2 linked regions of the Tamandua tetradactyla genome follow. Each later gene encodes a partner of the first gene's protein in a complex. Links are inferred from orthologs where the notes say so. Each region holds a gene or a part of one and is shown on either strand. Other genes may lie near its edges.

What was found.
Region 2: the proteins of GNAI2 (region 1) and P2RY12 are in contact, whole or in part, in a cryo-EM structure (PDB 7XXI), measured with the Homo sapiens proteins. The link is inferred for Tamandua tetradactyla from reciprocal best matches to the Homo sapiens genes GNAI2 and P2RY12. Residues at the interface, in NP_002061.1 of Homo sapiens: Arg24, Glu28, Ala31, Arg32, Leu195, Glu319, Ile320, Tyr321, Phe335, Phe337, Asp338, Ala339, Thr341, Asp342, Ile344, Ile345, Lys346, Asn348, Leu349, Lys350, Asp351, Cys352, Gly353, Leu354, Phe355; in NP_073625.1 of Homo sapiens: Phe59, Asp121, Arg122, Lys125, Thr126, Pro129, Phe130, Thr132, Asn134, Pro135, Ile212, Leu216, Ser219, Tyr220, Arg222, Thr223, Arg224, Val234, Lys237, Ile241, Leu301, Cys302, Lys303.

Annotation. Positions count from the first base shown.
Region 1 is NC_135341.1:35,847,728-35,851,638, reverse strand, and holds the start of GNAI2 (guanine nucleotide-binding protein G(i) subunit alpha-2), read left to right. Parts: upstream 1-1,209; 5' UTR 1,210-1,226; coding exon 1,227-1,344; intron 1,345-3,911. UniProt on the Homo sapiens protein: Guanine nucleotide-binding proteins (G proteins) are involved as modulators or transducers in various transmembrane signaling systems.
Region 2 is NC_135331.1:44,951,851-44,955,761, forward strand, and holds the start of P2RY12 (P2Y purinoceptor 12), read right to left. Parts: upstream 2,238-3,911; 5' UTR 2,136-2,237; exon of another isoform or gene 2,114-2,135; intron 2,097-2,113; exon of another isoform or gene 1,629-2,096; coding exon of another isoform or gene 1,493-1,628; exon of another isoform or gene 1,320-1,492; coding exon of another isoform or gene 1,210-1,319; exon of another isoform or gene 109-1,209; intron 69-108; coding exon of another isoform or gene 1-68. Other genes in the region: MED12L (mediator of RNA polymerase II transcription subunit 12-like protein), read left to right, coding at 1-68, 1,210-1,319, 1,493-1,628, 2,470-2,631. UniProt on the Homo sapiens protein: Receptor for ADP and ATP coupled to G-proteins that inhibit the adenylyl cyclase second messenger system. Not activated by UDP and UTP. Required for normal platelet aggregation and blood coagulation.

The sequences.
Region 1 (3,911 bases):
GGGGCCTCCTGGGCTCATGGCAACTAGGACCACATGGAATCCTTTTCTGGGTAATCCTTGGCAGACCCCTTCAAATGCCAGGCCAAGGCTGTGGACTCCTGCGGGGTACCAGGATCAGAAAGACCAAAGCATTCAGGCACTGAGGCTGCTGCTCCCACCCCAGCTTTGCCTGTGGTGGTTGGTGAATAGGCTACAGGGTTGCAGCTACCTGTGGAGAGAAAGGCCACGAAGAATAGGCTGAGGTCGTGGCTACCACCAGTGGAGGACAGGCCCTGGAGGGGACAGGTCATAAGATCCTAGCAACTTCTGTTTTGAGAAGGCGGGTGGCAGCTGTCTCTCTTCTCTTTTTCTCAGGGCCCTGGCTACCCATTCCCAGCCTGTAGTCCAGGATGGCTGCCTGCAGGAGGAAATCTCCCAGCAGATCAGGAAAGGATGGACAAGCCTTGGATGAGCAGAAGAATAACCCCCCGCTGGTGGAAACAGCTTGGGCCAAAGTGTAGAGGTGGCAATCGATTTCATTTTCTTTGTTTTGCTGCAACCCAGGGAGAGAAGAGGGCAAACCTGCCTTAAGATAGAAAACTGCAGTCTTAAAGAGCTCCCGGGTTTGGGTAGATCCCGACACAAGTTTAAGGGGTTCGTTAACTTGTGACGAAGACACGCCTCTTCCACCTCACTCGCCTAACTCGCGGAAGCTCAGAGGGCGGGTTCCTGCTCCACCCGGGAGGTGCAGCGGTCCCCTAGCCTCGGGCTACCAGAACCTCCCACCGCCGCCGTCGGGCCGCAGAGCTCCAGACGCTTGGCTCCGCATCCAATCGAAGCCCGGCCCCGCCTGAAGCCCTCTCGGAGCCCAATCCGAGCGTTTACTCTACCTCTAGTGCCTACTCTCGGCGTGGCCCCGCCTCCAGCCCTGGCCCAAGGCTGGGCCCTGCCCAGCTTCATCCGCCGCTCCGCCCTCTAACCAATCACCGGCCTCGGATCTCTTCTGGGCCCGCCTCCGGACCCGCCCCGGCCCAGTCCCAGGCCTGGCTCGCTCGGGCCCCACCCCTGGCCCGCCCCGCCGTCGGTGCACGGCGGCGGGCAAGGCACCGCCCGCAGACGCTCGGAACTGTCGACCCGAGAGCTGCCCGCAGAGGGCCGGTGGCCGGAGCGGAGTTGGTCGGGCGGGGCCGAGCCGGGCCGGGGGCCGTGTGGGGGCCGGGCGGCGGCCGGGCCGGGCGGACGGCGGGATGGGCTGCACCGTGAGCGCCGAGGACAAGGCGGCGGCCGAGCGCTCCAAAATGATCGATAAGAACCTGCGGGAGGACGGCGAAAAGGCGGCGCGGGAGGTGAAGTTGCTGCTGCTGGGTGAGGCCGCGCCCCGCGCTGAGATACCCCCCTCCCCCCTTACCCTCCCGCCCCCTCCCTCAGTTCTGCCAGATTCCCAGACAAGGACTTCGAACTCGTAGACAAGGGCTTCGGACCTCCCCTTCGCTCCCGCCCGCGTCTGGACCCCCAAGCCTGGCCTGAAACCCCAGTCGGACCGTCACATAAGGATCCGAAATCCTAAGCTGAAGTCCAGGCTCTAGATAAGAATCCCAAATCATTCCAGACTCCAAACACCCAAACCCAGCCACCAGGCCCCCAACACCAGCTACCCAGAACCCTGCTTGACCATCCCTTGCCGACCAAACTTATAGACCCTCAGAAGCTGCCATCTTGTCTTTCCATCCTTCTTTAGACTTTACTCAAAGCCCCAGAACCCTACCTCGCCTTTACGTTCAGTCTCCACCTGTTCCCCTCACCTGCTCCCTCGTATTCCTATTGGGCATGAGCATCCCTGGGGCCCCTCCCAGGCCCCCCCCACTCCCTCCTTCCCCTCCTGTGCCCCATCCATACTCTGAACTTTATATCTTCTACCTGTGACCTCGGATTTTAAGACATCTCCTGCGTGAGAACCCACGATAGGGCACCCCTCACTCCAGCTGGAATCCCCGAACCTGTAGACGCTCTGCTCCCTGACTTCGGCCCCCCAGGTCCTCTGCAGGCATCACTCCCCAAAACGCTGTGCACACCCTCTCCCACTCTCTGGCCTTCCCCAGGTTCGCCTACCCCTGCACTATTGGGCCGGGCCAGGAGGAGGGGCCCAGGGGCTAGGGTGAGGTAGCAGGCTCGTTAGACCTCCCAGGAGGGGGCTGGAGTGAAGCCCCACTCAGGCTTCTCTGGGAGTTTCCGCTTGCATTACCTTTTTAAGTTTCAAGACCTACTCCTGTGAGCCCCCAGGCAGTAGGAGGGTGTGTGGGGGAGGGGCAGGGGTGAGTTGTTGGGGTGGAGTGGGGGTTGCGGCCACTTCCAAGGCCCGGGAAGATGGTGGCTGCTCAAATGGTGGAGGGAAGTGGAAGTGGTGAGACAGCCGACATATTGCCGCCCCTGCGGGCGGGCTGAGATCCGCTGACGGCTTGGGAACTGGCCTGAAGAGCTGGTCTGAGGCCTTCGGAGTGGATGGAGCTGTAGTATCCTGGGACCCTCCTAGTGGGGGAGTGGTGGACCAGCTTCATGAGGGTATGGGGGACCAGCTGGGGGTCAGTCAGGTGCCTCTGAGCCTCTGCGCTAGGCTTTTGCAAAGGTGGGGGGTCCGGTGGACATCCTGGACCAGCTCCCCATGGGGAAGCTTGAAAGCCTGATTTGGGGATTTCAAGGGGTTTTATGGGAGGCCCCCACAACAGTGTTAGAGGCTGAATAGTATATGTGTGTGGGGGTGTGGCCCCTCGGCCTCAGAGCTGCTGTGGAGACCTCAGGTTGTGAAAAGCAGAGCTTTGCAGGCTGGGCCTGTGGCTGAGGGACAGCAAATAACTGTCCATTCATGGGCCCATCTGTTGACTGTCCCCAGGGGCCTGGCCTCAGGGGCGCAGCCCCAGAGGTTTCAAAATGGCATCCGCTCTGCTGCCGCCGCCGCAGGGAGGAAGAGAAGGGGCGGGAAGGGGCGGCGGCCCAGCCTCCTGGGCTGCTTTGCGTTGGGCGCTTGCCTCTTCCTGTCTCTGCTGCTGCGAAGAGCGGCGGCGGCAATGAGTGGGTGTCGACGCGGCGGAATGCTTGTTGCTGCCCGCTGGGCCTGGGGAGGGCACTTCCGGTCCTACAGCCTCTCGGTGCTCAGCTTGGGGTCTCTAGCTATCCCCTTACCCAGTCGATTAAGCTGGTGGCTAAGGAGATGTGGGACTAGAGTAGAGGTGGGGACACAGGGCTCCTGGCCTATTCTATGCCCCAGCCCTAGAAAGGCCCTCCGTCCTGCCAGGATTGCCCCTTGGAGCTCGGCTCAGCTTTTGGGCCAGGCCAGGTGGAGCCCAGTAACCCCTCCTACACTGAGCTGGCAGCAGCCAGGAGTGCAGTATCGGTCAGCATTTTCTAGCTTGGTGAGCCCATCCCAGCATCCTGCCTCTCTGGCCTTTTCTTCCTCTCTGAAATGGGCTTCCTGGGCTGGCCAGGGAAGGGCCACAGGAGTGCCAGGGCCCAGCTGGGAGAGAATAGGAGCTTCAGGGAGGTTTCTGTTGGTGATGTGAGTAGGGGTTAGGACCTGCAGAGCATATACTGCAAGGGGCTGGGAGAGCAAGCTCTTCCTGAAATTGAAGATTTAATCTGCCACAGTTGCCTGGGGAGCAGTCCTGGCTGACCCATCCTTTTTCCCTCCAGGTACATAGTGGTGGTGGGAGCTTGGCTGTGGCAGGTTCAGAGTGCTGGGCGCCTGTCCCACATAGCGGGAGAGACTCTGTCTGGGCAACGGGACTTGGGCTGGGCATTTGCCAGCCTTCCCTCCCAGCCAGAGCCACGCCTGCTGCCCCACCCGCATACAGGCTCCCTCCCGCTCGGGGTGGCCCGGCCAGTGGGCGGGTACATTCATTGTCACTGGGGCAGAAGCAGACATGGTACACATTGGCGAG
Region 2 (3,911 bases), on another chromosome or scaffold:
AACGATACCAAGATGATATAAAAGCACGGCAAATGATGCACGAGGCATTGCAACTCCGCCTAAATTTGGTAGGAGACACTTCTTGTGTATTCCCTCTACTGCACTTACCTCGATGTGAAAATAATTCCAGCTTTCCGTTCCCACTGTGTGCAGACTCTGCACTACAAAGTCAGGTCTTCCGCTGTTTGCTCTTTGTAACTACTTCCCTGATTCTCAAGCATCCTGTTTTCCTTTTGGCTTTCCTTCCTGTCTGGTCTGACTTCTGAAAAGTAGTAGGTATTTTAGGCATTGGTCTGCCCTTCCCCTCTGTTTTTCCTCTCCTCAGCCTCAGTGAATCTCTCCTGCTCTTGAGTTTGTTCTTAAGCATAGGTCTCAGAGGACTGCTATTTTGAGTAGCTTTTGCTCTATATTTAAAAAGCATAAAAGGTTCTTTAATTTAAAAATGTTGTCAAACGTTCCATCACATTGATCATTTACAAACAAATCCACAGTGAGATTTCAGATACACTTAAAAATTTTTTTACCCATTGTACATTCCTTTGAAGTTTTATTTTCTCATCAGACAAGCCCAAAATTAATTCCTACACTGAAAGGTGGCTTGCCTGTTACTTTGCCTTATTTTTTAACGGGATCCCCACATATGAATCTGGTTGGGCTGTGAGCCTAGCCTCCTGGCCATCATTAATTCTGCATTAATGGATATTTCTAAGTGTTTATGATAGCAAGAATAAATTCCATAGTAATCAAATCTATAGGTAGTTGGCTTACATCATTTTGATGTGTTCAGGCTTAATGTGACTAAATTTACATCTTAAATCAGGATATCTTGAAAGATTACGAACAAAAGAAAATGTACCATTTAATTCATATCAGTGAGGTACCTACACTTTTGCATCAGCCGTTTTGAAATCACATGGTGAACTTCTGGTCATGTGATCCTCAAAGGACAGGCATGTTAGAACTGCTCCTAGAAAACACTCAGGTATACAAACACACACACACAAACACACACACACCCATCCTTTTTTTTTTTAATGCTCAAATTGCTGTGCTGAAAAGGGTGAAATGACAAATATTTAGCCAGGAGAGAAGACAGGATAAACTGATTTTTTTTTTTGAATAAACCAAAATTTGGCCACATGATAGCGCCGGGATAGTATTTTCTCTTTAATGTAATGCAGTCTTTTTAAATTGTCTTCTGTATGCTAGGTAGGAGGAATGTTTGACACAGTGCAGAGAAGTACTCAGTGGACAACAGACTGGGCGCTTCTACTTCTTCAAATAATTACTTCAGGAACTGTTGACATGCACACGAACAAGTATGATTTTATCATTTTGCATTTCTTTTGCTGCATGTGTACATGGTGTAAACTTGCTATAAATTCTGTCTCGTTACATTTTTAGCTACCATTCAAAATTCTGTGTCTTGCTCAGTTAAGTATATCTTGGTTTTGGTTTAAGATGAAAATAATTATTTTCTTTCACCTTCTAGTGAATTATTCACAACAGTTCTTGACATGCTGGGCGTTTTAATCAATGGAACATTAGCCTCTGATCTATCAACTGTGTCCCCAGGGGGATCTGAAGAGAACAAACGGGCTTATATGAATTTAGTAAAAAAACTGAATGTAAGTTTGTAATCTGCCTATCTTATGAACCCAAATTGTTAATGGATTTGTTATTTATTGGCATTTTTATTTAATTCACTACTCATTAAATGAAACATCAAAAATATAATTTTAACAAGCAAGGTGATTATTTATTGCATTCATTCACTTTAATTTAATAGGGTTATTTTGCCATTTTGTTTCACTTCAGCTTAGAAGAACCCAAAAGTACATGCATGTAACCTTGAAGATTTAAGTAATAATTATATTATCAAAACATGTTCCGTTTTTAAGGTACTTTAGAAATCCATGTTCAAATATGTAATCAAAATACCAGCATTAGATTTTGGATAAATCAATAGTTGGATTGGTACATTCAGAGGAAATATAGGCATTTTTCATTGATATTTCTAAATATAATTCATTCAATTAGCCACTAGCCTAACCTTCAAAATAAACTCTAAACAAACAGTGTAAAAGGAAATCAATATTTCTGATGGCCTTACCAATAAAATAATTGCTGGTTACCTTGTGGTCTGTCCCTGCACGCAAGAAAATGTTCCGTGCTGCAGCTTCTGCCTTCTGATTGCAAATAGTACCCTGAATTTTTGTCATTTCAGCACTGTGGTGTTGGTTGTGTAAGAAGTGTGACTTTATATATGTTCTGTTTCCTACTTAAATAGAAGAAATGAAACATACTCACGCCTCTAATTTAGAGCTGCACCATAGACCATGTTCAAGGTTAAAGAACATGCCAGTGATAGAAAAGGAAATGCTTCAAAGGAGCACTTCCTTCTTGTAACTTTGCCTTCATTGTAATTTCCAACTCATTTTTCCCTTTCTCTTTCTCTCTCTTTTTTAGAAAGAGCTAGGAGACAAGCGGTCAGAGAGTATTGACAAAGTTCGGCAATTGCTGCCTTTGCCAAAACAGACATGTGATGTCATCACTTGTGAACCTATGGGTTCCTTGATTGACACAAAAGGAAACAAAATTGCTGGATTTGACTCTATAGATAAAAAACAGGCAAGAGTAAATGTTTTTTCCTCATATAAATATATCAACTTATGAAAACCAAATACTTATCTTCAGTTCTGATTTTTATTTCACAATTTAGAAGCAGAATATGTTTAGATAAGAAAATTTTTCTTGATAAAAATCTTCATTAGTAAGCTATTCTGAGTAAAAAATATATTTTAAATGTAATGGTATTTCATATTCTAATCCAACAGTATTTAAAGAACACTTCTTTTATATAAGGTATTAAATAATTTTCTCTAAAATGTGGAGGAGAGCTCAGTCTTTCATTCAGTGAAAGTTGAGCAGCTGCAGACATTGTGCAATCACATAGGTGAAACATAGAGCTCTTACCTACGAGGGGAAATAGACGGGCGCAGTGTGGTAAGATTTGTCAGCTTTCACACCAAGAAAACGTTACTGGGACACTGAGGAGGAGCCAGCGAACTCAGATAAGAGGAGTTAGCAATGGGTTCCCAGAAAAAAACAACATGTACATCATTTTAAAGGCCAGGAGATAGAGAAAACTGAGATACAGGAAAGGGAAGGTGCAAGGACATGAAAAGATGTGACTCACAGGGGAAGTGCAATGCTGCAGTTATTTGGGATAGCCTGAGTACCTCATATCAGTGGGGGTGTAAAGAGAAAAAAAACTAGAGTCATGGGCAAGTTCTCTTTGTAGTGCCAGTGGGTTCTTCAGTGGGGAAACATCTCAAAGCCATTTGGAGATGTGATTTTGACACCCAGGAAAGAGGTTTAATCTCAAGACAGAGATTAGAAAGTATCAGTTTATAAAATGGTATTTGATCCTTGTGTTTTTTTATTATTATTATTGTAAATTTGTCATTCTGGACAATTTTAAGAAAGACAAAAGTAGAGAAAATAATATAATAAATACTCAAGTACTCATTACTAGTTGCACTGTTTTAGCATTTTGATCAACATTTTGCTAAATCTTATTTTAGCATCCGAGAAGATAGGATTTAACAAATGAGTATCACTGCTGAATCATACTGATATTTCTTTTATTCTTGTGTCTTGGTGCAGCTAGAAGGAAAAACTTAAAAGTGTGGAACTGTAACCCATACCAAACTCTGAAATCTTCTATAACCAGTTGTTGCGGTGTGCTTTGAAATGTATTGCTTTTTTTGTATATATGTTATTTTTTCATAATGAGAAATATAGATATTTAAGCCACATGCTGAAATATTTATGGGTGAAATGACAGTGTCTATGATTTGATCCTTGGTTTCGCATGACTTCATCATGGAATAGTATGTATTGATAAA